Linked DNA regions of Oryzias latipes. The protein of the gene in region 2 purifies or fractionates together with the protein of the main gene of each other region. This does not show direct contact. Links are inferred from orthologs where the notes say so. Each region holds a gene or a part of one and is shown on either strand. Other genes may lie near its edges. The genes, in order: ccdc117 and stip1.

Region 1 (3,924 bases), on a different chromosome or scaffold from region 2:
ATTATAATTTCACACAACTTCGTCAACTTCTTCCTTTCTTTGTAGAAGTTTGTTTTTAAAATCCATCTTAAATACATGAAGGCATCATAGTAAAACTAAAGAAATGCTCAGTCGTGTACACTGAAAGTGCTGAACAGTGCCACCTGGTGGCCGACAGCGATGTGCCAGTTTTATTTCACACTTTCATTAAAGGGCCTATATCATGTAAAGATCAATTTTTTTTTAGCTTTTAACTGTATTATGATGCTCATTCCTCACTAAAAATAACCCCAAAGCGGTATTTTCATTCAGTCACGCATCCTTTAAAAACTTGACCACCAGCCCCTCCCAGTCCACGAAAATGTGTGAGTTTTCACATTCATACGTGTGAAAGTGACAAACAGCCCCTTCCAGGAAGAGTCCAGCACCGCCCACAGGCTAATATACACACCCGTTTTCTCTGCGGAGCTGGTCGTGATCTGCAAATCATTTTCTATGCACATAATGCACATCCATCTTTTAATAGTTTGGATGTTGTTTTTTGCCAAGGACGACTCTAAATTGGGCGGCACCCACAAGGAGCGAAAGGCGGAGCCTCACAGACTGAGTCATCTGACTTGCGGGTTGGAAAAGAACTCAGGAAAATAACTAATGTTTTATTTAAAAAAAAAGCATTATTTAGCATGCCAACGTTAAAATATTATCATATATATGGATATAGTTTCCTCTGAAGGGCTTAAGAAAAGCCATGATATAAGCGGCCCTTTAAAGGGGATCTCAGTTGCCGGGTCATAACTGGCTCATTTGTGGGCAAAAAGATGCTTTTTTCTGACTAAAAAGCATCTTTTTATTCATAAAAAAGATGACTAAGTAGAGGGTGAGGATAAGACAAGTCAGAATAACATTTGGGAAACATGTAGAGGTTTTTAAAATCCAGTCTACATTACACTAAGCAAAGTGGATAAACTCAAATTTGAAAGGCCAATTGGTCAACAGATAAAACAAACCAACTGCTGGAAAAGTACAGCAGTATTATATTTATATATATGCTTATTATACTAAGCAAATGCCACTTTCTGACTGCAATAGGAGAAAATCCTAAATAAAAACTACAGGAGACTTCACAAATCTAGGTTCTTAAGTAGAGTAAATATTTCTGAGCACACGGAGAATCTCAAGTTTAAACCATTATTAAAACTGGTTTTCCAACCAGCCTGACAAGCAATTTGTAAAAGAATTTCTGCTATTCTTCAGCAGTTTATCCATAAAATTTGGTTTACATGCTGCCTCTTGGAGGGTTGGGCATGGAACTTGAGCATTTGTGCATACCTGTCTTCAATCTCCTGCAGTTTTCTTTGAGTTGCCTCTACCTCCATGCTGAAGGACTCCCTGGCAGGCCGGGATTGGGGGCCGGACTGAGACACAGCTAAGCTCTGCTGGACAGAGCAGGACTGTGGAGGAGTCAGGAGAACAGTCTGGGCGCGTGCAGCATTGCAACCATTTGTTTGGGTCCACTCTTGAGGAGTCCTGGAGTTCTGTGAAATGTCCAGTTCTGCCTCAGACATGATCCTTCTTTTTTTGGCACTGCATCCTCTGAAAAATAAAAATAAATATTTCTGTTGGTGCACACTTTAGAATTTGGTCTTCATTATATGTAGATATATCTCACTTACTCATCATCCAGGATCCTGTGTTTTCTTAGACATCTCATCTCCCAGTTGCTGTGGTTTAAGAAAGAAAGAAAAAACAAAGTCAGAACAGAAAATGTAGAAACAAACAAACAAAAAAGTTATAAGGGACTCACTTGCTGGAGTTCGTCGCCTTTAGTTGGTGCTCAGCTGAACTCGGAGGTCTGAAGTCAAATTCAGGGAGGCTTGCAGGGCCTGAAAAGGGAAACATGGCTGGCAGAAGGCTCAGCTCCGAGCTGGAGGGAGCAGGCTGATGCATCAGGATCCACTTGTTCTGAGGCCTGAAGCGACACACGCAGAAACCACCACCTATTTAGTATACTAAGATAACCTTTAGTATAGTTTTGACCAACTGTGCATCAAATGCATTTACACACAGCTAGCTAGCATCGGTCTATTTAACATTTAGTTTATATTTCGGATGTTCTTATTATAACTTGTTAGCATCTATGACACACAAAAACGCTTTAATCATTCAACAAAAGAACATTTTTGGAAGAGTTGCGTAAAGGCAATGTTCAACAAGACTGACCTGTCAGTGTAGCTGCAATGCCTGCTGCCAATAGTTTATTATTGTTGTTAGGCTGAGCCTCCTCTGACGTCCACTAGTAGTTCAGTCTTTCATTTTGATATCCGCAAACAGACACTTTCCATTCTCGAGTTTCACTGACCGAATGAAAGAATAATAATAATAGTAAGGTCGAGCGGAAAATAAATGGCCTCTGTCTCTGTAATAGTGTCTCCACGAGAAGTAGGCTGGGTCAAAATACGTTAGCTACACATTCTGAAATAGAGGCACGCACTCGAACGCTCGTCAAGTTTCTAGAAGGTACGTAGTCTACGGTCGATGACAGTGGTGGATTGTGGGAAATGTAGTTCAGTTTAAACAAACCCCAACTCAACGCAATATAATATTAAAAAATAAATAAATAAAGCAAAATACGTCTTAAAGAAACCTTTTTGTGGCAATAAAAACAAATTCGATTATATTTTTCTATGCCAAATGTATAAATTGCGTGTCTAAAAAGTGCTAAGCGCTGAAGCAGAGGAAATCAATGTCCCGCCCCCAAACGTGCTCGATACCTGATAGGGTTACCTTGGCACGTGTGCAAAGCCAGTAGCCAATTAAAAAGTCTTATTGTCAACCAACTTTGTTCGTTTCCTGTTTATGTTCTCAAATGTTTTTATAGGGATTTTTTTTTCAATTCAGCTGACCAGTCATGTGACTCCGAAGAATGTAAACCGAATCACTTTCCGCTTCAACTTGTTTTCTCACTCCAGTCTGAGTCTTCTCAGTGGACACTGACAAAGTCAAGAAGAGCGTCTGTTGTGTTCAGGTCAGCGGCAAACCCTCTCTGCGAAACTTAATTGCACTCATCACTTATCCAAAACATCTTTTTTTATTATAGTAGCGTGACCTTTAAATTTTTTCATATATCTATTTTTTATTTTAGCGTTCTGGACAAGCGGCGAATGATCCATCGTTGATTCAGAATGCTCCGCCTGGTCATAGTTTTGGGCCTATTTGCCTGTGCGTTTGGGAAGGCATTAAACTTACACGGTAAGTAAATGAATTAATTAATACATAAAATCATTTTTAAAAAAAGAATCTAAAGGAACTGATTTGAACTGCTTTAAAAAAGAAGGAAGTTTAGTACTATTACTAGGGTATGACTCCACAATCTGGACATTTGGAAATGTTGCAATCATTTAGCAACACTCATGCACCTTATTAGGAGGAGTTATAGTTGTTTTAGTGCTTAATTCTGTAAATGCATATAAATATAATACCAAATAATTGGATAAAGCTTTTAAGTTCTTCCATACAGGTGCGGATTGAACCTTTTGGGACATTGCACCATAACAAAGCATATGAGATTTAAAAAAAAAAAAAAAAAGCTTTTTGTTTCTTCTGTTTTTTCCAAAAAAGCTTCATTTTTGTTTTTATCTGAAAACTGAATCCAGATACTGATGGAAACTACCGGGAACTGCTGCTGTCCCTCAACAAGCAGCTCCTTCACTCTCTGGAGACACAGGAAGGACTTCCCAACCCCAGCGTTCACTTAGCCCTGCGCCTCTCTAATTATCACAATCATGTAAAGGAAGACGAACACCTGAACAAACTGAAAAATGATTTGCACAATGAAATCCAAAGGTATTTTTCTGTCTGCACTTTCCCGAGTACATGACAAAAAACCCAGAATGTTTTAGTAATGTGTCATTGATGCTGTCTCATCCCTGTTTCCCTTTAGTTCTC
Region 2 (3,921 bases):
CGGTTGCTGTACAGAACATGGTTGGATTGGTCGAGAGCCAAGGCCTCCGTGTAGCAACGCACAGCTTCATCGATATTCCCTGCACTCAGGGCTTTGTTGCCCTGCTCCTTCAATGCTGAAATCTAGAAAAACATCAAAACCCAACATGCTTATTAGCACCAGATCAAAGTTTGCATACAAAAAATGCCATATAGAGGAGCTGAAAAACAGCCTAAGAACTGATCATGAAAAAACAAACAATAAGACCACAATGAATGGAGAATTTCTCCTTCATCTGTACAGACGAAATTTATCCACACCATAAAGAGAAACTCCAGAAACAGTTTAAACATCCATAACAGGGGCAAATGAGAGTAAAAGAGGCACAAATAAACAAAATTGCCCACTTAAAAATGTAAAAAAGCTATGAACATTGACGTTTGTGATGAGGGTATATTCAGTCTCCTAAGCATTGGGTTGCCTTGCCTTAAGGAGCAGATTAACCTGCTCTCTTAGTAATGCATTTCAGATTAAGGAAAGGCTTTTGGAAAAATATTAAATGTGAAACCAAGTCCAATTGACTGCTTTTTTATCAACCTACTTCTTTGATAGTTATACAAAAGGTTGTTCTCGTCACCAGAAGATACTACGTTTGAATGAAAATGTAAAAAAAATAACAACATTAAATCGATACTTTGTGAGATATAATGATTCCTGGTCCAACACATTAAGCTTGTAATGTAAAAGAAGTTTGCATTCCTCCACACACTGCACTTAATCCAATAAAACCCAATTGGGTAACTTGTGTCTTTTCTTTCGTTTCTGTTATCAGAGTTAAAATTGAAAAAACACATAAAGCTTCACACCAGCTCGCAGTCGAAGCTGTTCCCAACACCTTTGATAATAAATTAAACATTTGAAAAAATGGCCAGATTTTGCTTTAATTTCTAAATGGACTCAAAGATCTGTTCATAAACTAAATTTCATTACTTCAGACTGAAGTGAGAAGTCTGTCCAAAGAAACAATACATTTAATAAACGGCACAAATAGAGATGAGTAAATTCAAACTTTGGTAATTCATCGCACTGAAAAGGAAGAGAACATATCACTTGCAATGGTCCATTTCCATCTTTTCTAAAGTAAAGAGTACAGTCAGTTGTCATGCAGGTGTGATGGCTCTATGAAATTCATTCTTGTCAAAAAAAAGAAGAAGAAAAAAAAAACAAATTTTCACAACTTTACACTATTCTTCAGACCAAGTTCAATATAAGAGCTTTAAAATACAATTAGAACAGATTTGAAAACTTCTTTTTAGTCTATTTAATGAAAGTAGTGGATGTTGAAAACGTCAAATATGACTTTTTCAATGGGGGGTCATCCAAGAAGAGAAAGAAGTATTTTCTGAGCAGGTCAACTAAAATGAGTATGTCCCCAAGTTTTGTGAATAAACAACCAATGTTTGTGCCTGTTTGTCTCCTTTGATCAAATTTCACATTTAAAGTTTATGATCATTAATTTATCAATGCAATCTTTATAAGATGAAATTGAGAGGACTCATATTTCTATATTTGTGGGTTGATAACAAAAGTTTAAATACAGCTTAAGACCCATTACATCACATGTAATTACCTTTTGTAAAGTATTAATTACACGTGTGAATTCAAAGCTTACTGTTAAAAGACCCTTTAGGATTTAAATCATTTTCAGTTTTACAGACTAATTAAGTCACAACATGTAATTACAGCCAGATCACCACAGATTAGGGGATTAACATTAGTTGATCCCATGAACAACAAACGCTGGATATTAAGAAAATATAATTTTTACATGATTAGCATACATATACATATAGTTGCTAACGCTGTTGCCAGTAAATATTATTGCAATATTTATCACTAAATATTTGCGACAGGTTTGGAGAAAACGAGACTTTAAATTTTTTTTAGAGAGACGTTCAAATTGGGACCAAAATACTACAATTTAAAAACCGGAAAAATGCGCGACAATTTCCGACGACATGCGGCTGTAGCCATGGCAGCAGCGACCTGTGCATCTAGAATGATCCTCCGGTGTGAGAGCAGGCTACTTAAACATATACAGCCGATCGAAAAGTACTTAAGCGCTGTGTGCCACACTAGAACGAGAGCATATAAACTAGCAATCTCTAATACATACAAAAATATACAACTAGTTGCATTATGAACGTAATTTAAATCGTTATTTCGTACTTGCAATGTCAAAGATTTGCGAACTAGTCTGAAGCTACGAGGGTTAAGGATAAGCATGGGCAAAGACAGAAAAGAAATGAACCAATATGTATATACATTTTTTTTATAAATCAAACACGTTTAGTTCAAATTAGTGGAGTTTCAGTAGAATTTTCGTATCATGGCTAATTAGCTTAACTGGACACACATGCGTTGTTACCTGGAAATATCGCAAGACTATTTGGACTTTAACATAAAATGAAAATGTTTTACGGAAAACTCAAAGCTCAGCTACACCTTCCATTCTAAGTGACCACATTGAATGACGGTTAGCTAACATTAAGCTAGCTCGATGCATTAGCAAAGTGAATCTCTTCAAGCTAAGGATTAAAACTAAGACAATTTTTTTAACTACGATTTTTAAGAAAACTCGTTTCATCTCAACATTGCACAATTCTTTAAAAACCCATTTTAAATGTTTGTTTTGAAAGAAGAAGAAAATGCGATTACACGAGACTTACTTTCTCCATGATACAAGCATGAGGTACGTTCCAGAAACTACTGCGGACTAGCGCCTCCCCCTGAACACGTGCGGGTTGCCAGATTGTTGTAGAAGATCCGCAAACAGCGACGAACTCGCGTGGAGCCTCTGACGAGCAATATATAGCCTCCTGACTGAAACTTCCAGAAGATGAATTGGGAAAAAAACTCTCAAAACCCAGCCCTTGAAGTTTTACTCTCCTCTATGCCTAATGTAAAAGCTCAAATTGAAGATACAAGCGCATTCACTTACAAGAGTAAGAACAGAAGTCTGAAAAAAGGTTAAATTAAGCGTTTATATTTTGAGCAACACCAGCATCCACGTAACTATAATATTGAAGAGAAACTCATACTTTTAAATGTCATCACATATTTAAGGGTGTTGACAAGGTTAACATTTTTAAAATTTAAAACATACATGTTTAAATACAATAAATATTCATCAGTTTTACTTTGCTAATATTTTAACATTAATACGGAAATTTCCTTTGTATAAACAAAAATGCATTGTAGTGCTTTTTGGTCACTTTGGTAAAATATTGTGTAACATCAATACGTTATTTTCTAATGAATCACTAGAAAAAAACATTTAGGTAAAAAATATTTTCTTGAACAAAATATGTGTCAAACATTGTCACATTAAATTAAAAAAATGAATGAAACATAAATAAAAATCCAATAGAGGTTTTTTTAGCATTCATTTATTAGAATAAAACTCAAACAAAGGACAACATGATATAAATTTAGTATAATGGAACAGAATGGAGTAGAACCTTACTGAATAAATTAATATTTTAGTGTAACAAATTCACAAGTATCCAAGGTGAAGAAGAAAAAACAATGAACAAACAAATAAAATATAATAAATTGATTACAGAAAAGGGGTTTATTTAACACTCTTTGCCACCAAAAGAAACGTACCAAATAGAGGATGTAACACGTGGTATTGTATTTCACAAAAAAGGCAAATTGTAATGTGAATAGAGTGTGAAAAGGTTACATGTGGCTTGATCACCCAAATCTTTTTTTTCTTCTCACACATTGTAGGATAAATAGTGATGTATTGACAAGTATTGTAGATAGATGGACAGTTTCTTCAACTGATAACATGCAGGTGGTGTAAGAGGTGGTTCAGTCTGTGTTATTGGGGTATTATTAACTGGTGTATTCAGTAATACAAGCGATACTAACCAT

Evidence for each region.
Region 1: the proteins of stip1 (region 2) and ccdc117 purify together in Homo sapiens (affinity purification with mass spectrometry; 5 studies listed by BioGRID and IntAct, counting the BioPlex papers as one, with this or other methods). This does not show direct contact. The link is inferred for Oryzias latipes from reciprocal best matches to the Homo sapiens genes STIP1 and CCDC117.

Annotation. Positions count from the first base shown.
Region 1 is NC_019867.2:12,561,807-12,565,730, reverse strand, and holds the start of ccdc117 (coiled-coil domain-containing protein 117), read right to left. Parts: upstream 2,549-3,924; 5' UTR 2,200-2,548; intron 1,949-2,199; 5' UTR 1,927-1,948; coding exon 1,784-1,926; intron 1,701-1,783; coding exon 1,653-1,700; intron 1,573-1,652; coding exon 1,309-1,572; intron 1-1,308. Other genes in the region: transcobalamin-2, read left to right, coding at 3,162-3,228, 3,633-3,822, 3,920-3,924. UniProt on the Homo sapiens protein: Facilitates DNA repair, cell cycle progression, and cell proliferation through its interaction with CIAO2B.
Region 2 is NC_019872.2:19,986,842-19,990,762, forward strand, and holds the start of stip1 (stress-induced-phosphoprotein 1), read right to left. Parts: upstream 2,834-3,921; 5' UTR 2,718-2,833; coding exon 2,709-2,717; intron 123-2,708; coding exon 1-122. UniProt on the Homo sapiens protein: Acts as a co-chaperone for HSP90AA1. Mediates the association of the molecular chaperones HSPA8/HSC70 and HSP90.